Linked DNA regions of Lonchura striata. The protein of the gene in region 1 interacts with the protein of each later gene in a pairwise test. Links are inferred from orthologs where the notes say so. Each region holds a gene or a part of one and is shown on either strand. Other genes may lie near its edges.

What was found. The genes of interacting proteins can lie anywhere in the genome.
Region 2: the proteins of MEOX2 (region 1) and SMAD3 interact in binary tests that used the Homo sapiens proteins (3 or more experiments, as listed by UniProt). The two-hybrid records come from large-scale screens. The link is inferred for Lonchura striata from reciprocal best matches to the Homo sapiens genes MEOX2 and SMAD3.

What each region holds. Positions count from the first base shown.
Region 1 is NC_134603.1:128,044,883-128,055,756, forward strand, and holds the start of MEOX2 (homeobox protein MOX-2), read left to right. Parts: upstream 1-6,855; 5' UTR 6,856-7,307; coding exon 7,308-7,818; intron 7,819-10,874. UniProt on the Homo sapiens protein: Mesodermal transcription factor that plays a key role in somitogenesis and somitogenesis and limb muscle differentiation. Required during limb development for normal appendicular muscle formation and for the normal regulation of myogenic genes.
Region 2 is NC_134613.1:23,080,546-23,090,883, forward strand, and holds the start of SMAD3 (mothers against decapentaplegic homolog 3), read left to right. Parts: upstream 1-6,314; 5' UTR 6,315-6,393; coding exon 6,394-6,599; intron 6,600-10,338. UniProt on the Homo sapiens protein: Receptor-regulated SMAD (R-SMAD) that is an intracellular signal transducer and transcriptional modulator activated by TGF-beta (transforming growth factor) and activin type 1 receptor kinases.

The sequences.
Region 1 (10,874 bases):
TGGATTGCCTACAATTAGTGACACAAAAAGTAAAAATTCTTCAAAGCCGGTTTACCTGGACAGTGTCTGTTTTATTAGTTTTAATTGGAATTGCATTGGGTACTGAGAAGGAAGAGGCATGATTTTTAGAGTAACACAGCCAAGAAGCTGACATGTCTCGTGCCTTCCTCTTCCATTAGAGACATGCTATGCCTCCAGATGCTGCAGTCTGGATTTAGGGGCATATACCGCTCTTGCACAAGTAAGAGTTGCATATGTTATGAGTTAATTTCGTTTTGTTGTGTTCTTTTGCACATGGCTTTTTTTGAAACAGTGAAACGGAAAATATTTTTAGTTTGCCATCTTGTATTGAAATATACTTGGGTTATTAAATAAAATCTAAATCCCTAAGTGATACGTTCTACAGCTCAAATGTACAAATGCTTAAAGTTCATGGACAAAGTACCTATGAGGGAATTACACAAATCCAGACTGTCCCCATGTGCTGTACATTGCATGTGTCTCAGTCAGTAAAAAGTGTGCCAAATAATACACCTCTTTTTGCAGTTGACCTTCACTAAGCCCACAGTGTTAGACATTTTTCATTTGAAAAAAAAAAAAAAAGGATACAAGTAAATGGATTTCATGCTTTTATTATGGGCATCTAATTTAAATGAAATGTATGAAAACGAATCAAAGAGAGGAAGGTGGCTACTTAAAGTGATTCAGTGCACTAGAGTACACTATGTAAACTTAGTTGATATGAAAGTGCCTCAGTCTCTTACTGGAATACTTTATTGAACCCAACCTGAGATCTATCACATTGTATCAAAGGATATGCAAGCAGGATGCTTAATAAAGCATGACAAGCATAAATATCTTGGAAAGGTTTATTTCAACATGTAGTATCATATATTCACAGCTCATCAGTAGAGGTGCATACTGTTTTGGGGAAATAAAATAAAAAATTAGTTTATGCAAACACAGCTTTGGAAAGTGTAATTCTCAAGGTATGTCACTTGGATGTTTCTTCATTGCGTTTAAGAACTTACTGATGTTTTCTAGTGTCACCGGTGCCTTACCAATAGTTTTCTGAATCTTTGAAACTTTATCTGCAAGTTAAGCACTTCTTGGCATATATTTTTAGGGAAGTCTAGCTTGTTCTTTTTTTTTATTCTTCTCATTCTTTCACAAGACAAAATATCTACATCTAAAAACACCCTTAGTTTAGTCTAAAATAATTGCAAACAAAATTGATTTTGTATTTAATTTCTTCTATCAAGTATCTGTTGTTAGCATTATCTGATATTAGATTTTGGGGTGCATTATGCTGCTATGCATTAGCAATTTTTAGGTCTTTGTTTCTTACACCTATTATTAATTACTGTTGCAATCCTGAAAATGGTTCTAGTCAAGCAAATCACATGAAGACAAATAGGACTCTGTAAAAACACAAGATTACTCCCATGTGAAACTGGCAGAATGAATAGACCCTGAGCTCTGCGGGGCAGTGAATATCTTTCTATTCTGAATACTAGCTAGTTAGGGGTTTCTGCTCCAAGTCTAGAGCTCATCACACTATAAATCATAGCAAACACACCTGCAGAGTAAATAACATAATCCCAGCAGCTATTAAAACCTAGAGATTTTGTAATTATTTATTCTTGCAGCATAAATACATGCCCATGCGTCTTTTTCTCCCTTCAGAGCAAAGAAAATCAGGAACTACTACAAGCACACACTGTAGTAGTATTGTACTCACTAATGTGTAAAAGGGATGACAAAAATTGGTGACTTATCACTCTCCCAATGATGGAGGCAGAATTATGAAATATGCCCCCTGCTGCTGGTCCTGCAAGGGCTTGGAAATGTCAGCCAGGAGACAATAAATATTTCAGATATTTGGTATGTTTTTGTCTCTATTTCGGTTTTGTTACTGTAAGCCTACTGCGTATTTACCCGGTTAATCGATGTAAGTCACAGCTTAAGTCTGTGATACGCAAAGTTTTCAATCATATGTATTTTTTATTCTGGGTGACTCAGACTTGAAGTATAATCAACACAATATTAATTTTACAGCATAGATAGAAGCAAGCATTGTTAAAAATAAAGAATTATAAAAATGCCCTTCACCTTTTTTCCATGCACAATAGTGTCTGTATTTTCAACTCCAGTGAAATGTCTTTTAAATACACATACAGATCAAAATCCACAATCTGAATTGTATCAAACAATAAAATGCTTAAAGTGTAAAACACAAGCCTTTTTTTCTCCCTCTCTTATTTTATGAGGAAAATGGACAGAGCATAGCGTGTAATTGTCAAGATCTGGGGACGACAAAATGGAAAACATCTTCTTCAGGTATTATTGACTTGCCTGCATATGCATTTTGAGTACACTTCTAAATACAAATTTAGATATGTATTATTAAAGTGCCCGACAAAGCTAGTCATAGCTGTTTTCTAGTTCAACTATTCTTAAGTGGAGATAATACTAGAGAGAATTAAAAAAATGTTTAATTACAATGCAACAAGCAGAATGGGAAAAAAATGTATTGTGCAAAACTGTTCAATTTTCAAATAAATTATTTATTTAAAACAAACACACTCCAAAGTTTTGAATATGACTTCTGGGACTTTTGGGTATCTAATGTGAAATGCAAGTTTCCCATAGTATGTGAAATGCATAGCTTCCCAAATTCTAAAAGCATTCCTGAAACAGCATAGTTCAGGTGTGAAGCCTCAAGTGCATTCAGAATTTTAATATTTCATCAGTTTATTTAAATTAAATAGGAAGCATAAGATATTTTACTGGTTACAGTGGGCTGGCAATTCAAATAACTTTTAATGATGTAATGCAAACTTGTAAATCATTTTCAGCGAGGGCCTCATGGCTCAGCACAACTTTTCTGTAGTATACTAAATTGCTGGCATAACTTTAAAATTTGTAATGCTTGGAGATCATGAAAATAAGAACAGAAGCCATATGTATGTGGGAGAAGTAGCTGGAAATATTAATTCAGGCTTAAAAGTTTTTACAGATCTGTATTTGTCTTTAAAGCAAAAATTGTGTCTGATAAGTGTTAAACCATGGCACATGTAAGCGCTATAGAGAGTGAAATGGAAATATACCACAGAAATGCAATCTTAAAATTGTGGTAGTGCAATTTATCAGAAAAAAATGTTTCTATGATGAAGTATTGTAAAGATACTGGTGCAGCATAGGTTTAGAATAGTAAATGTGATTATTTTCAATTTTAATTAGTCAGAGATTCAGTATTTTTGACTAGTCAGTGAACAATTATTCATTTTCTTTGCTAGGATTTTCAGTTAAGGCATTCAAGCATCCCTGAAATAATGCATAATCCCCAGGCTTTATTACTGCTTATATCTGTGGGTTTATATTGCCATACAGGTACCAAGAGAAACGAATTATATTGCTTCAGAGGGAGTTAAACTGGCAAAAATTCGGAAAAAAAAGAAAAGACTGAAAATAAATATACATCTGTTGTGAATCTGGATTGACTCTAAGGTTGAATGATGCCTGCATTGACCAAATTGCCATGAAAAAATACGAACTGATCATAATTACAGTAGAATAGAACTCTGTCCTCTTATTTGGTAGGCTCTTGGGTACAATAAAAACTTTGGCTAAAAGAAACTGAATTCATATTTGTAAGCTTTCCCTTTGACAGTAATGAAAATATTCTTAAATTGTGTAAATTGCCATCCTTTTGCTGACTTCAGCAAAGTTATGACAACTTATATAATTCAAATGGTCCCCAAATATGACTTATCTATCTGATTTTACTGTAATACGCATATTGCAAATATGCAAACCACACACTAGAAAGAACTGACAAGAATCCTACTTACATTCTGATAAATATTCAGGAAGGTGGTTCTTTCAGCCTCCAACGTAAAAAATCAGAAAGACTACAAAAGTCCTGAAAAGGAGGAATTGTACACTGGTTCATTCAGGTCAATTTTACATGATCTCCTTCCCCATGAATGGTAAGTTAAAAAACCAAAAGCGACCCACCAGCAAAACCAAGAAACACAAAGTGAATGCAAATAGTAGCCCATACATGAAAATATAAAGGATGTTCCAAACTGTGTTGGCTCCAGATGTTTTTATGAGTTAAACAGTTTACTGTTTTCACATATTTAAAACATTCTATTTTTTTCACTTGATGTTTATAAGCTTTGGGCAAACTTGCTGGCATTGATTTAAGTTATGCTTTTGTACCACATGTAGGTTAAACACACATTCTGAAAAGGTACAATGCAAACAAGAATTCAATCATTAATATTGAGAGGCAGCAACTGCTTACAATTTTTTCCAGTAATTATTCTGCTATTACTGAGAAGCTTTACACTGAAGTTATAACTAAAAAGTTATAATTTTTTTACAAAGGATGCTATCATATAGCCATAGGTATTTGGTAACTGCACAGAAACTTTTGGAATAATTTCAGAAAGTGTTTGAAGCTGTTTGTTTGCCTTCACATTAATTGCCTATTTTTGCATTCTCCTTATATAGTTTGAAATGAAAGCATAAAGCTCTGCAGTGAAATGCATATCCAGTTCATGTGTGCTTAACACTGGTTTTTAAAGAAGTAATAAGAACACTTGATATAGGACCTATGAACTTATTTGGAAACTCAGAAGCCCAGGGAAGCACATTCCTGAATAGACAGATTTGGATATGAAGCTATTGACAAACACGGAGCTGTGCCATTATAGCTTTGCTATTGCATTCTTTCTTTTCTTCTCTTCACCTTTTGGAATCTCTTCTGCCTCTCCCTAAAATGTCTTATTTGGCTTGTTTCTTACTTCTCTTGGAAACCTTATCTTTCTCCCTCTTTCTCGAACCCTCTCACTTTCTTCATTGTGCTTCACTTCACTCCTTTCTTTTTTTTTTTTTTTTTTTTTTTTTCCTTTCTTTTGGTCATGTGCGAGAAATCCTGCATGGCCATTCCCTAGAACGAAGGCATTTTTACACCGCCTTGGCTTCGGGACTTCCCCGACCTCTTCACAGCTGTGGCTGTGTGAGGGATGCGGCAGCAGCGGCCCTGGAAGGAGGGGTGCTGGCATTCCAGCCCCTCCGGCCCCGGCCCCCACGACGGCGACTCGCCCCCGTAGCTGTGGCGGACAGCAGCAGGTTGGAGAGCGGCGGAGGGCAGCGGTGCGGTGCGGAGCGGTGCGGTGCGGTGCGGTGCGGAGCGGAGCGGTGCGGTGCCCGGGGCCGCTCCCCCGCTCCCACCTGGGGCCGCCGCCCGCCCCCGCAGCCCTCGGGCCGCCGCCGCCGGGGCCGCGGCGGGCGCGACGCTCCGCGCCTGTCGCTGTCTCGCAGTTATTGCTCCTGTTTGTGAGGGACAGCAGCACCCCTGTGCTGCCAGCCCGGCGTGTTCCCAAACTCAAGAGGGGCTCAGCCATCGAGATTTCTTTGTATTCCTCTCTTCTAATATTAGAACACATATTGAAACGATAAACACAATGAAAAGCACAAAATATTTCATCAGTGTTGTAACTGTATATTTCCTTTATTCTGAAGAAATATCAAGTTTTGAACGGTGCACAGAGGCAGCAACTTCTGCTTTGGACGCCGCTCTCTTTGTAAAGACCGCGATGTTACAGTTAAATCTAAAGACAGTTATTAAAAAGAGTTAGATGTCAGAAAAGGGGGGAAATCTTACCGTCGAAAGACTGCTGCAGGTTCCAGCTCAGTCTGAAACTGCAGTGAAAAGCGGAGCAGCTGCTGAACAAAAGTTTTAGATTTTTTTTTTTTAAGAAAGTCTGCAAAACTAATTTCCCACAAAATAGGACTCAATTTCCGTTTAAGAAACTAGCTCTTACAAAAGTCATACAATTGCTGATTTTTTCCACTAGCAATTGAAATTCATTTTATCTTTAGCACATGGACCCAAGAATTTAGACTTGAGAGAAATGGTTTCCCTTTTCTACTTTTTTTTTTTTTAATATAGTTTTGTTTTGGGGGGAAGGAGGAGCAAGGTACATCGAGTAGGAAGAGCTGGAGAATAAAACCGCTGAGCAGTGGGCACCTCTTTGGTCATTGATCACTAATGCGTTATCCTGATTTAAACCAGTTAAGAGACGCCTTGGTGGCTACTGTAATTCCACTACGCGCATGTTAAAAAATGATTTTAAAAAAGGAAAAAAAAAATAAAAAGACAGGCCCAAACTTTCCAAGTTATTCCCCAATTCACTAAAGACATTTGCAACGAAGCAAATGAAGATAAAGCAAATAGACGTTATGTGACTTCTTGTTTTGAAGGGGCAGAGGGCAAGAGGGGAAACTTCTCTGTGCAGCCAGCCTTGCTGGCACGGTGGGCGCCGGTAGGTTCGTTGCAGAACCAGCCGCCGATGCCGGGGCACAGCGTGAGGCTGTGGAGGGCAGCCGGGGCAGCGCCGCGGCCCGTGGCGAGTGCCGGGGCGGTGGGCGCGGGCGAGGAGAAGATGGCCCGCGCCGGCACCTTCCGAGCGGGGGAGCGCAGCCGGCGGCCCCGCACGCCGGCGCCCTCGCACCTGGGCTCGCAGGTGAGGCGCTGGCGAGAGCACTTCAGCTCCCGGGGAAACGGGGAAACGGGGGTGGCCCCCGCGTCCCCCGCCCCAGAGTCACCCCCGCACGTCGCCTCACGTCTTTACTGCGCTCCCTCGCCCGCCGCTCGCGGGGGCGGCGGGACCCCGAGCGGCCCGTCGGCCCCGACGGGGCGGTGATGGCCTGCGGGGCCGTGCGGCCGCGGCGAGGGGGGCTCGGGCAGCCGCGCGGGGAGGCGCGGCCCGCGGGGGCAGGGACGAGCGGGCTGCGCCCCCGCGGAGCCGCCCCCCCGCCAGGCCCCGGGCGCCCGGGGCGCGGGCGCGCAGCGCTGCCGCCCGCTGACGGAGCGGCTCGGCGCGGGGACGGCGCTGGCGTTTTGGAGGGAGTTTGCATGTGGTCAGTGCTGTGCTGCTGAGCCAGCCCCCAGCTCACATTACACACTACTGTATTTATAACCTCTCGAAGCTGTTTCCCCCTTCAAGCAGTTCTCTGGGACCACCTTCTATTGGCTTCAACCTCTCCCACTTCTTGACATCTGAGCAGCTCTGAGAACGGCTCATCTAGGTCCGAGTGTTTATGCAGCGGAGACTGGCCACTAGGGCTAAAGATCTGGATTATTTGAGCTCAGCTGCCTGCTGCAGAGCCTGTCGGTGCCGTTTTGGAAAAAAAAATCCCAGCCCCGATCTGTTTACAGTGAAAGTTGACAAAGGGTGGTGAAGTTGGATCTTTCCTAAACTCTCCTGCCTGGAACCTGAGACTTGCATGCCATGGATCACACACTCTTTGGCTGCCTGCGCAGCCCCCATGCCACTGCGCAGAGCTTGCACCCTTTCTCCCAGTCTTCTCTTGCACTGCATGGAAGATCTGACCACATGTCCTACCCTGATCTGTCTTCTTCTTCTTCCTCTTGCATAATAGCGGGATACCCCAATGAGGAGGGCATGTTTGCCAGCCAACATCATAGGGGGCACCATCACCATCACCATCACCACCATCACCACCACCAGCAACAGCAGCACCAAGCTTTGCAGACGAACTGGCACATTCCTCAGATGTCGTCTCCTCCCGCCGCGGCCAGGCACAGCCTCTGCCTTCAGCCTGACTCAGGAGGACCCCCGGAGCTGGGCAGCAGCCCCCCTGTCCTGTGTTCGAACTCTTCCAGCCTGGGCACCAACACCCCCACGGGGGCAGCGTGTGCGCCAGGGGACTATGGCAGGCAGGCTCTGTCCCCGGTGGAAACAGAGAAGAGGTCCGGCAAAAGGAAAAGCGACAGCTCAGGTAAAAACTCGCGCGTTCCCCAGCCGGGGCGGGATCCCCGGGTGGCGGGGAAGTGGCGCGGTCGGGCCCCGCGGACCTGCCGCCACTCGGCTCGGCTCGGCTCGGCTCGGCTCGGCTCGGCTCGGCTCGCCCGGCCACGGCCGCCGCCGTGCTCTCGCCGCCGGCTGACACCCGGCTGCAGGGTTGCTCCTTCCCTCCAACGCGCTCTGGGGATCTCCATCACTAACGCAAACTTTATTAAAGCTTCGGGGGGAGAAATAGAAAGAAAAAATTCAGCACGTGATAGAGTATGAAATCAAGGTGGTGGTGGGGCGGCGGGGGGAGAATTTCCTACAGCCAGAGAGAAACGTTTGTAGTTTTGGTGCGGTTTTCAGCATCTGGTCCCGCGGCCCCCTCCCCCCTGCCCGATACGACACCTCTGCTTCAAAATTCAGAATCCAGCGCGCTCCTTCCCCTCCGCCCCTTCGCGGAGCTGACTGCGGCTCCGAGGCGATTGCACAACGCTTGGAAGCTCTGCCTTGGAAGCGGGGATTCGGGAGAGGAGCTGATGCCTTGCTACCCTGTAGGATCTGAGGATCCCTGTAGGATCTGAGTGATCTCTGAAATCCTCAGCGTGAAGGGGCAAAATTTGGACTCTGTGAAGCAAACGGGTGATTGGGAGTTTCAGAAAGCTGCTTCACTTCAGTTTTCTGGTGGCGGGGACAGAGGAAATGAAGGAGCAGTCTGCCTTCTAAAATCACAGTAATTTTTACATAAAAACATGTAGACCCACAGTCATTCCAGACTGATGATTTGGCATCAATGAATGGGCAAAAAACCTTGACATTATCTCTGCTTTCTAAAATAGCAAAGCCTTTCAAAGTCCTGATCTGACAAAAGGCACTCAGCGAAGGCAACGCAACTGATGGGACTTCCATTAGGGCACACATGAACCGAGGGGTCACCAAAAATATAGTGAGACAGGCAGGAGGCACTTGAAAGAGAGAGGGCTCAACAGATTGAAAACTCAAGAGCTGGCGTAGCAAATTATTTGTTATCACAGAAGAGAAAGTGAAAGGCTTTTCCAGATATGTATGAAGTTCACAACTGAAACCATAACCTTTCACTCAAAATGCTGTAAGCTTAGCCAAGCGCAAGCAACAAAAAGGATTTAAAAAAATAACCCTCAAGAATACCATCACTTCCTTCCTTGTCCATTACATTAGCAAATACTAACAGTTACAGTAATTCAGAACGTATTTATCTGCATTTTGTCTTACGTAGCTGGTGTAGCTGCTAAAAACTCATGCATTTAAAGCTGTATTTAGTTCAAACACTGCTGGTAAAATCTTTGTGTTTGTCTTCTTTCAATGAGAAAAAGATTTATCTGATTTTGTGAGGTGTATGAACAGTCCCTGTTACAACTGAGAAAATAACTGGATGCCTGCTGGTGTAAGGATTTATTGTATTTGTTGGTCTATTTAAAGCTAAAGGAAAAAAGGAAATTGGTCCCTTTCACTGTCAGAGAAGTATCCGAATCACTTTCTGTTTATTTCATTCTGCAATGCAAAAAAAAAAACAACAAAAAAAAAACACCAGTGAGGAATGTCCTAAACCTTACCCTGAAGTGACTGGAGCCTTCCACTGGATTAGCGGACAAGAGTTCAAGCCTTTAGCCATGGTTATGCTTATCTTGCAATGCACTTCGAGCCTCACTTTCTAAGTCTTTCTGAAGATCAAGGCAGGTAACTATTTCCTTCTCCCTTCCGCTAAGAAAAAAATACGACCGTTCACACAATTGTGAATCTCTCAAACTGAAAATAGATGTCTTTTGACAACAGCTGCATAGTTGCTATATGTTTGGTTTTTCTTCAGGAAAAGCCTGAGTTTTGGACTGAATATTTAACCCCACCCCTTTATTAGTCCTGAACTCTGGTGCTAGATATTTAGTGCTATTCTCATATATGGCAGCAAGAATTATTTTAATTTGCTGTGTTTCTATATTTGTCATCCATAATTGCCCCTCATTTGATTAAACATCATCACCTTTATTTCTCATTAATCTTTTTTTTTAAGACAAATGACTGTGCTTGAAAGAATTTCTTCCATGCCTTCATCAGACTTGGAACTTCTTCAATAGACATTTGTAAAAAATCCTAATAGTAAATAACTAAAAGGTGAAGAGAGAAAGAGACTGCTTTAAGTTTCAGTGCCAGCATTCTGAGACAATTATTAATGCTCTTGCTTATTTACACATACATTTCCTCTTAAGCACATCACTTAAAGCCACAGAATGCTTAGCGTTTTCTTGAGCACTGAATCTGTTCCGCATTTCAGAGCTGAATTAACCTTAGGCTACCCCTTTCTTCCACTACTTAGCTTTTGTTTCTGGGTATTTAAGATCACAAAGCTGAGTTTGTAGATAGTTTAAATAATGTAAAACATGATCATTCCTTGTATCATTTACCTTACAAACAAGTGACTGTTTCTTAGCCGAATAGCTACTCTGAAAATTTACTAGAAGGGACACCCCATTTTACTTATTTGTTATGATGTTGGGAGTGCAACATTTTAAAATTATAAACAGAAATCCAGAGAGCAAACAGAATTTAGAATGATAGGCTGTGTGTTTTTCCCTGGAATTCACATATTGCAAGGGAATGGGAGGATATAGAAATATTCTTTTCTAATCTTTTGCAGTTTCATTTGGGATTGAGAAAACAAGGTGAAATGTGCTCTCATGATAGTTATATAAACTGACTTACAGTTTTCTTTAGCCCTAACCCAGATTTTAAGCAGTTTGGGAAGTTCCCTTTGAAGATATTGAAAAGGCTGCTACAGAACAGGGTGAAATTTTCAGCTGTTCTCGTTGCAAAGGACTGGGAAATACTGTTTATGTAGTCATCAACCCTGCTTGCTGCAGCTGTCAGTGTCTCCAGGTTTTGTAGTTGCTCTCTCATAATCTGCAGAACATTCCTTTCAACCTGCGTAGGCCCAGAAGTGGGTTGGTAAAGTTGCCTGTGAATTATGAAGAGGTGCACATAAATCTTTATATGTTAACATTTTGCTGTGAATAA
Region 2 (10,338 bases), on another chromosome or scaffold:
CAAGATGTTTTATTTTCTCTCATGAAACTCCAAAACCAAAGAAAAAACTGTCCTCCAGACTATCACCTTCTGTCTCCCTACACACACTGGTCACTTGTAAACCGTGCCAGGAGTTCCCATGTAAGGATGTATTAAGATTTCAAAGCCAAACCTCCAAAAAAAGGAGGGGAAAGCAGAGCTGGGGTTCCTTCTGAAGGGGTTTGTGAGGAGGGCTGTGGGGCTCTGCCCAGCAGGATGTGCTGTGTTAGTGAAGCACAGCTGGGATTCCTTGTGCACCCTCTGAAGGTGTTTGTGAGGGTGCAGAACAGCAGATTGTGCACATTACAGGGTGTTTGTGAGGGTGCCGAATAGCTGTGGTACCCTGCAAGGATTTGACTGAGCTGTGCATTTCACAGAGCTGACATGAACGCTGAAGACATTAACTTAGAAATGCCTCGCCTTTTTTCATTACTCACGCCAGAAGTTGTTTTCCTGTGAGTTTGTTCTGAGGGGCCCTGCTCAGAGGAACAGAGAGATGTCCCATAAGGAGTTTGTGAGGAGGGTTGAGACCCTGCCCAGCAGGATGAAGCAGAGCTGGGATTCCCTCTGTACCCTCTGGAGGTGTTTGTGAGGGGAGCTGAGGCCGTGCCCAGCAGGATAAATCAGAGCTGGGATAGATTCCCTCTGCACCCTCTGAAGGTGTTTGTGAGGGGAGCTGAGGCTGTACCCAGCAGGATGTGCCATGCCAGTGAAGCAGAGCTGGGATGGATTCCCTCTGCACCTTCTGGAGGTGTTTGTGAGGGGAGCTGAGGCTGTACCCAGCAGGACGTGCCATGCCAGTGAAGCAGAGCTGGGATGGATTCCCTCTGCACCTTCTGAAGGTGTTTGTGAGGGGAGCTGAGGCTGTACCCAGCAGGACGTGCCATGCCAGTGAAGCAGAGCTGGGATGGATTCCCTCTGCACCTTCTGAAGGTGTTTGTGAGGGGAGCTGAGGCCGTGCCCAGCAGGACGTGCCATGCCAGTGAAGCAGAGCTGGGATGGATTCCCTCTGCACCTTCTGAAGGTGTTTGTGAGGGGAGCTGAGGCTGTACCCAGCAGGACGTGCCATGCCAGTGAAGCAGAGCTGGGATTCCCTCTGTACCCTCTGGAGGGGTTTGTGAGGGGAGCTGAGGCTGTACCCAGCAGGATAAATCAGAGCTGGGATGGATTCCCTCTGCACCTTCTGGAGGTGTTTGTGAGGGGAGCTGAGGCTGTACCCGGCAGGATAAATCAGAGCTGGGATGGATTCCCTCTGCACCTTCTGGAGGTGTTTGTGAGGGGAGCTGAGGCCATGCCCAGCAGGACGTGCCATGCCAGTGAAGCAGAGCTGGGATGGATTCCCTCTGCACCTTCTGAAGGTGTTTGTGAGGGGAGCTGAGGCTGTACCCAGCAGGATAAATCAGAGCTGGGATGGATTCCCTCTGTACCCTCTGGAGGTGTTTGTGAGGGGAGCTGAGGCCGTGCCCTGCAGGACGTGCCATGCCAGTGAAGCAGAGCTGGGATGGATTCCCTCTGCACCTTCTGAAGGTGTTTGTGAGGGGAGCTGAGGCTGTACCCAGCAGGACGTGCCATGCCAGTGAAGCAAAGCTCGGCGCTTCCCGTGCAGCTGCGAGTGCCCCGAGCAGCCCCGACCCAGGGGAGCAGCCAGGGCCCCCCAGCTCCCTGCACACCACAAACACCCCCAGGGCCCCGGTGCCTCACATCTCACTGTGACACACAGGGGAACATTCACATTTCCTGGGAGATCACTCACCTGCCCCAGCCTCAGCACCGCCCTTTCTCTCTCTGCCGAGACCCATACGGTTCATAAAGGAAACAACGAAGGAATCATTTTTGCAATGGAGAATTTTAGTTCTTCTTCATATTATCTCTGTCCTGTGCCCCAGATGGGCCATGGGGATCTGGGGAAGGCTACTCAGAGGTGTAAATCAGAAGCAGAGAGGTTTTGGAGTGCAGGAATGGCCTGTCCATGGCTCTCCAGGGAGGTCAGCTCCAGTCCAGGAGCGCCTACACAAATAACTGCCAGGAATTGGGAGAGTGTTTTAGAAGGATCACTCTGGACGTGCTGCTGCCTTGTATTTTTCCCTTAGGCAAGAGGTGCTGCCGTGGTAACAGAAAGGATTCTGGCTTGACTAGAAGTGGTTGTGTGATTTTTGCACCACTGAGTCTCTTGGAACATGCAGGTGAATTGGCTTGTGTGTATGAAGCATCAGGAATTTCCAACAAAACAACTTTTCATTGTGCGTGCGTGTTTTCTCATCTGCAGAGGAGAATAGCTGTGGTACCCTGTAAGGATTTGACTGAGCTGTGTATTTCACAGAGCTGACATTACTGCTGAACACATTAACTTACAAAGGCCTCGCTTTTTCATGACTCACGCCAGAAGTTATTTTCCTGTGGGTTTGTTCTGAGTGATTAAGAGAGGTTTGCTTGCATATAAATGCTGTTCTACACATATAGATATATATATATGTTACCTTCACCAGGGAAAGCTCCCACACTTTCCCTTGTTTATGCACATTATACATGACATAGGTTCCGAGTTAAATGCCACAGCCCTTATTTACAAGGTAAGCAAAGAAGATAACCCAATTTAAAATTCCTCATTTTCAGTGCTGCCCATCTCACCCTTCATGGAGAACACTGGACAAGAAGAGTCGAGGCCACCATCCTGTCTGCTATGAGCTTCCCAGCTTGTCCACCTGGGAATTGTAAAATTCCACGTACAGGTAGGAAATACATTTAATATTTCAGCCAGTGAGGTAGAAACGGGGGCAGCACCTCAGAAGCTGCTTCTCAACCACTCCCTGATTTTCAACCCAGCCACAGTGGCACGCTGGGAGCTGTTGGAGCAGGCACCAGGATCCCTCAGAGCCCAAGCCCAGGCAGGGAACAGCGTGCTCTGGCCACGCTGCCTCCATCCTGCCTGTTCCAGCTCGCCCTGAACACCTTCCTGCTCGCCCCAAAAATCCCTTCTCACTACTCAAAGGATATAGAGGGAACATGGAGCAAAGCACAGAACAATTCTTCAGTCTCTGAAGCTGTTAAAAATATTTTTGATAAAGGTACATATATGCACAGCTGAGCTCCAGTGAACACCTTCTTGTTTCTCATGCTAATTTTATATTGTTCCTAAAGCAGAGCTGATTTTTATCTTTGTGAAAGGAGAATTTTAATCCTGGTCCTATTCATTAATCATATCAAAACCCAAGGTATGCAGATATTATTTTTCAATATTTTTAAGGTTCTAGTCTAAAAGGTTAAGAAATGCAAAATAGCTGTAAAGGGTTTGGGTTTTTTTCTTGAAGTGTTTGGTTTCCTCCCATTATTGCAGACTACATATATCTTTATTTCTCAGTGAGAGCAAACTGTGGCCCTGAACCTCTAGAATTCCAAACACAGGCAAAGATAATGACTGTTTAAAAGTAAAGAACAAATTGTTCCACAAAAAATGAGCACAATCACAAAAAGAAGCATAAACTTCTCCTGCTTAGTGGTGGCTTCCAAGACGTCAGACATTTTGTAAACCAGCAGTCGGATCCAGACCACGCAGAATTGGGACGGTCCTGCTTTTCCTGTTAATTTTTCCACTATGAGAGTGTCCAAAACTCTCTGAAATAAAGGATTACTGTCTAGGGGTTCAGAAAGTCATATTTTCATAGAACAGTTCATTCTGACAGGTAACCCCAGCAAGCACACAAGCTGTTCCATTAAATGTCATGGCCTTAAGTTTAAAAATGTATCCCACATCCCAAGCCCAACTGTTTGTTTGTTCTCAGGAGTGTTTTCAGTGCTGCTGTGGCCCAGAGTTTAGATCAGTGGTTGAGCTGCCTACACCTCATTTAGAGGTTGTAAGCAAGAGAGACACAGTTTGGTTTAGTGTTTAGCAAATTATCTTCACCCTTTTGCCACTAAATCACTCTACAAGCACGAGCAAACCACTCAGCTCTTCCTCTCCTTCCCCTTATTCAAATGTACCCAGACCATGACTTGTGATATGACTGTGAGGAGTGAAGATCAGACCTTGAACATGGACAGAAAATTCTAGAAGCTCTGCTGAACCGAGGTCACAGCATGAATTCTGAGTGTAGTGATGAGATTTGAGTATTATCATATCTTTCTGGATGAAGAAAGCATGGAATAGTGCCTGTGGTTTTCTATCCAAAAGAGCCAGAAAGAAATGTTGGTCCTCAGAAGAGAAATCTGCTCTGAGATCACCCTGATGTAATATGGACTTACCAGGTCTGAGGCAGGTCCTTCGGCCTCTGGGCTTGCAAAATGTGCTGGGCCAAGAATTGAGAAAATAGAGAAAGATTATTTAACTTCACCCCATTTCAAAATGTAGTAAGAATGTATTTCTGCATTTAAAAAATGTATTTAACTTCCCCATCTGTGTTTCACTTGGTCCACATATTCAAGCCATTTTCTAAAGTTGTGAACAACTTTTAAATAAAAATTCAGACCTTTAAATAATCACAGACTATCAGAAACTTGGCCTTTTCAGAAAAACACAAACATACAGAAAGTCAACAGTGCTAGCAAGTTAGTAATTGAGGCATCCTGCTTTTAGTGTAAATAGTATCCGTAATTTTTTTGCAGTGCTTTAGAGGTATTCAGGAGATATTTCCTCAAATGATGTTGGGATAATCTGCAGGGGTTCCACATCTTTGTACTTCAACCAAAGCAGCCAAAAACTGGGTCAGGGCAACAGTCCAAAATTTTAGTGGTGAGCCTCCAAAATTCAAGACACTCAGGGAATGCATGTTGGGGAATAATATGAGAATGCTGAAGGGAAAAAAAAAAAAAAGATAAGGGCATATTTAATTTGTAGCCAATATTAATATTTCAAAAATTGGTACTGTCAATTTGGAATAAAGCCTGTGTTTGAAGTGCCTGTGAAAGGCAAGGCAGTTGCCTCAGATGCTGTGTGATGCCATCGGTTCCTGAGTTGCCACGAGGCAATCTGGATGGCTGGCTGCTCCGAATCCACAGGCACAGGGGTTTGGGATGCCAGCTTTCGAGGAGTCTCCCCACTGGGTTACTCTGGATCCTGGAATATGAGAACGTGGGTTGGCAAGACCCTGCGTGTCTGGGAGCAGCCGAGCAGCCCCACGGGCTTCCCAAATTCGGGCTCACCACCGTCCCTTCTGATAGGATGGAGAGAACTGGGAAGCATAGCTCAGCTTGAAAATTCCGAATTCGGGAGCCAAGTCCCACAAAACTTTCACCCTGTTGCTCCTGGGCAGCTGTTGCAGGGAGATGAGATGCAGCTGGAGTTGAGAAAAGGAACCAGCCTGGTTGGAGGCACCTGGTGACTCTGCAGGTGCCTCTGAGGCTCCTCACTCAGCACCATTTTGGGGTGGTTTAACAGAGAACTGCTGCTTTGAGGAGCTAAAGTTTATAATTATATGTTTTTTTAGAACTTGGGCTTCTTGAGACCGGGGAGTGTGACAACCCAGTCTGCTCAGTGATGGAAAGTTCGAAACTGGAAATGTACCTGGATGCCACCCTGAGTCAGCCCAAACCGAAGCATCTCTACAAAACACCTAGATGTGAACAAATTGCCATCCTCTGACAAAAATATTCCGTCTGAGAATTTCTGACCAGCTCCAGCGGTAAACACCTCCAGGGTGTCCTTTTTGTCTGATACAGGGCAAAAATTATCCGGGTACCTGTTGCTCGGGGTGGAAAGATGAGGGAATGGAATATTAAATTAAAGGAGTTGGAACAAAAAGCAGCTAATTGTCTGAGCACGGCTGGCCGAGCTGTGTTCAGGTATCTGTGTGGGAACAGATTCCACGGATGAAATGCCCGTGGCAGGGGCTGCAGCCACGCTGTGGAGCCTCTTGTCCCCTTCCCCTCCCTGAGCGGGCTTTACACTTGTGGGGCTTTACGCTTGTGGGGCTTTAAGCCTGTGTTTCTTTTCCGGTGGGGTTTGTCCGGGCACCTCTCCCTGCCGTGCTGCCGGGCTTTTCTGGAGCGCGGTCCCCCTCAGGGAGCCGGGGCCTCCGCGGGCGGCGATGGAGGCGCGCAGCCTCCCGCCCTCCTTCCCTCCCAAACACGCCGCCGAGGGAGGGAGGGAAGGAGGGGGTGGAAGCCGGGCCGGGGCGGCCAGCAGGCAATTTGCATGAGAGACAGACTGGGAATGAGCTGGAGTGGGCGCCTCTCCGCGCACACAGAGCGGGGCAGGAGGGGGAGGAGGAGGGAGCTGCCGCCGCCGCCGGGGAGAGGCGGCGAACTCCGGGCAAAGTTTGGAGCCGCGGGCCCGCGGCGCTGAGGCAGCGGCGGGGCCGGGCCGGGCCGCGGGTGTGAGGCGGCGGAGCCGGCGGCGGGCAGAGCGCGGAGCCGGCGGCGGGCGCTGCCGGCACAGCCAGCATGTCCTCCATCCTGCCCTTCACTCCTCCCATCGTCAAGCGGCTCCTGGGCTGGAAGAAAGGCGAGCAGAACGGGCAGGAGGAGAAATGGTGCGAGAAGGCGGTGAAGAGCCTGGTGAAGAAGCTGAAGAAGACGGGGCAGCTGGACGAGCTGGAGAAGGCGATCACCACGCAGAACATCAACACCAAGTGCATCACCATCCCCAGGTATGGGTGCGGGGGGCGCGGCTCGAGGGGCGTGCGGGACCCGCAGGGACCCCGAGGGACCCCGAGGGACCCGCCGGGACCCCGAGGGACCCGCCGGGACCCCGAGGGACCCGCAGGGACCCGCCGGGACCCCGAGGGACCCGCCGGGACCCCGAGGGACCCCGAGGGACCCGCCGGGACCCCGAGGGACCCCGAGGGACCCGCAGGGACCCCGAGGGACCCCGAGGGACCCTCAGGGACCCCCGGGCCCCGGCACGGCCGGGCAGGGCTCGGCGCGGTGTCCGTCCTCTCTGCCTGCTCCTTACCGAGCTAAGAAAAACCCCGTTCTGCCTGCAGAACTGAATTACTCTGTAGTAACGAGAGAGAAAACGTAGTGGAGAAAATATGCCTCGAGCCGAGATCATAAAAAAGAAAAAAAAAAAAAACAAAGTTGGAAGCGCTGCGGAGCAGTTCCACTCTTATTGTCAGAAGTTTCAGCTTGTTCTCAAGTGCTGTTGCATTTAGATTTTCTTGTGATTAGCGCGTTAGGAAAACGGTTTTGTTTGGGTTGTTTGGCCTCTTCCTTACTCCTCCGAAGGGGTCATTTAGAGCCCTGCTCTGCTGATGTTTTCGAGTTACTTTTTAAATCGGGAATGCAAATGGCAGAGCTGAAGGAGGTCGTTTGGAGTGAAAAAAAAAAAAAAACCAAAAAAAACCCCACACATGTCAGGGTGAATATAACTGATTTTTTTTCTTCCATTTTTTGAATGAACATAGATTTTATTTTCAGTCTCCATTCCGAACTCGATCCACAGGGCCATCATAAATCATAAAAGACGTGTATAAAACTATCCCATCTAAGAACAATTTTCCAAGTAACTTTCAAATGGCTGCCCACAAGTGGTGTTTTATTGCTGCAGATTGTTGAATTCTGTGAGCTCAGCCAGATGACTGCTGGGTCTGTTCCTGATTGTGTTTGAGAGTATTTTTTTTTTTTTAAGCAAAGGCCAAAGTTCATCCCAAATATTTGAATGCTGCATAATTGTGTGCTTCTGCGTGAGAAGATATCTGTGTGTGTGTGTGTATTCATGCTTCTCTCTGGCACAAACAAATGTATGCTTTCTTGCTTGTCAGAATGATTTAATATGCAGGAGCTGATACAAAGCAGCATCTGTTGCATGAAAAAGTGAAGCAAGTAGCTTAGAAATGTGGATGTTTGGAGCTCCTGAAATTTTCTTCCAACAACTGCAGTGTTTTTTTAAAAGGAAAAATAAAGCCTCCTTATCTTTTTTGGTGCTGAATGACTTTGGCCAAGATTTTGGCCGGTAATGCAAATGAGAGCTCTCAGCCTTTGTTAGAGTTGCTCCGGCTTCTACTTGAAGCAGAAATCAAAACCTGTAGAGCCACCACGCAATACAAATGCCTTAAAATCTATATTTTTCAAGTTCTTGGTAAGCAGCGTGCTTTCCACGTAGATAATTCCCTGAAATATTTACCATTTAAAGCACTTCTCTGTAATATTTACCATTTCAAAAGAAGAAAATTTCTGGAGCAGCCCTGCTGCTGTGACCTGGGTATTGTGTCTGGCTGATGCTGACCCGTTAGGGAGCAGAGCATGAAGGCCCGTGGAACTTCTGTGACTCCTAACAGAGTGGTTTAGATAAGGAAGGATTTGATATTTTATGATTTAAAGGAAGAAAAGTGTTGGGCCAAACACAATGCTTTATTAAAAGAAAAAAGGTAAAGTTTGAAAATAAATAACAACGCAAACATATGTCGCAAGTCATGCAGACTCACCTTCAGAGATTGTCCTGACTGTTCCTCATCTGTTAAAGAAAATCTGTGCAGAAATTAAAACATTTTGTGTTAATTTATGACACTGAACCTGGATCCTACAGATCTTAAACCTTGGTATGGGGGAGGCATCAGCCTGTTTTGGTGGGAGCCCCTTATACCTTGGCATTAATTTTTAAACACAACTTCATATCTGCTTTTTTATTGTTTAGAAATGCCCGTGGTTAGGTTTTTCTGTGCTGAGATGTTAACATCTGTGTGTCAGAGGTTGGGGAATGGGGTGGGAGCATGGAACAATCCCTGAAGTCAGTGCAGAGCTGCAGCTCTGACCAGGCCTTGTGACTTTAAGAGCTGTGCCTTTTCCTCTGGGCTGCACTGCTTGTCCTAATGTATCTGTGAATCTGATTACTGTGTCATCTGAAATTAGTGTTTGCAAGACGATTTTAGCGTGGTTTTCGTTTGCTGTTTGTTTTTTTCATTTAATAATTTTTACGTATGTCATTTTACTATTTACTCAAATGATATGCTGGGGAGGGGGGAAAGGGGGGAAAAGCATCATTAAGGATTAGCTCATGTTGTGCATTGTCCGTAATGCATCAGTAGACTGAATTACAGTGGAGCCATGCCAGTGATGACTCTGGCCCAGCAGGAGCAGGGTAAGTCCAAAATTAGCTATTGTATCCATGAGACAGAGCAAGTTTTACATGGAAAAGGGCTCGAGCTTTGCAGAAACATTGCTTGTGGGAATGAGGGCTACACAGCAAATTCCTGGACTGATCAGGTGGGATTGTTTGAAGAAAGGACAGGAAAATATATTTGTTTTGTTGTAGGGCTAAGGAATTAGAATAACAAATGTATTCCTGCTGTCATGTTTATCTGCTGGGATCTGGAAGCACGTACTACATGCTATCTCCTGACAGATTAGTAAACAGGGATTAGTTTATTTGCTCAGCATGTGTTACTTCTCCAAGTGCTCAATTTCTGAGGTGGTGTGACAGATACCCCAGGTGTTCTGTTGGGAGAACCTGTGAAGATAGTAAAAGGCTGGAGAGGCCTTCAAGGATTTCAGCAACTCTTCTGGCAAGAAGGATTTTTCCTTCATGTTTTTACTGCTGGAGGAGGAAGTCATTTCCACCTGAAAAACTCTGGTCTCAAACCAGCTGATGGTTTCTGGTGGTGCTGCTGCTGCACAGGACGGCTCCTTTAGAGGATCTTCCTTCCCTGCTCCTCTGGACACAGCTGCCAAAGCCCATCCTGCCCCAGCAGGACCTTTCTTTAAACCTCTGTGCCCGAGCTGGTGGCCTTTAGTGCCAGAGCTCACCTAGTGAGTCGGGTCTCCCTGGCAGAAAGGGTTTTTCATCCTGTATTGGGTGATAAACGTTGAGAAGACACATTCTTCTGCTCATTAAAATGCACCCTTTGTCACAGTTATCTTGAAAGCCCAGCTTTCAGAATGAGCATTTTTATCACTTTTCAGACCAACCTGGGCACAAGTGTGCCATTAACACCTACCCAGCACAGGCAGGAGGGTGTTTGTGGCCTCTCTGCCTTGCTCTGTGAGCAGGCAATGATCTGCTCCAGCTGCTCGCAGGATTTTTGGTGGCTCTGTTCTCTTCAGAGACCCAAAAATGTGGTCAGAGTGGCGTCTACATCTGACATTCATACAAACCTGCAAAAACCCCTGAATTTCTAATACTGTTCTGAGCAGAAGAGAGGCCGTTTTGTGCACCTGAGAAACCAGCAGCATTTGCCCTGCAAATGAAGTGTGGTGAGTGTTGAACTCAACTTTTTTAGGGTCTGATCTGCAGAAAGCAGACCATGTGACAGGCACTCGGTAATTTCTACAAGCTGTGCAGTGTCTGTAGTCTTGCTTTATGATAGTAAATGCTTTGTTTCAAGAGCTTTAGTGGTGCTACACACACAAAGACATAAATCTCCTGATATTTTGTAATATATTTTCATATGG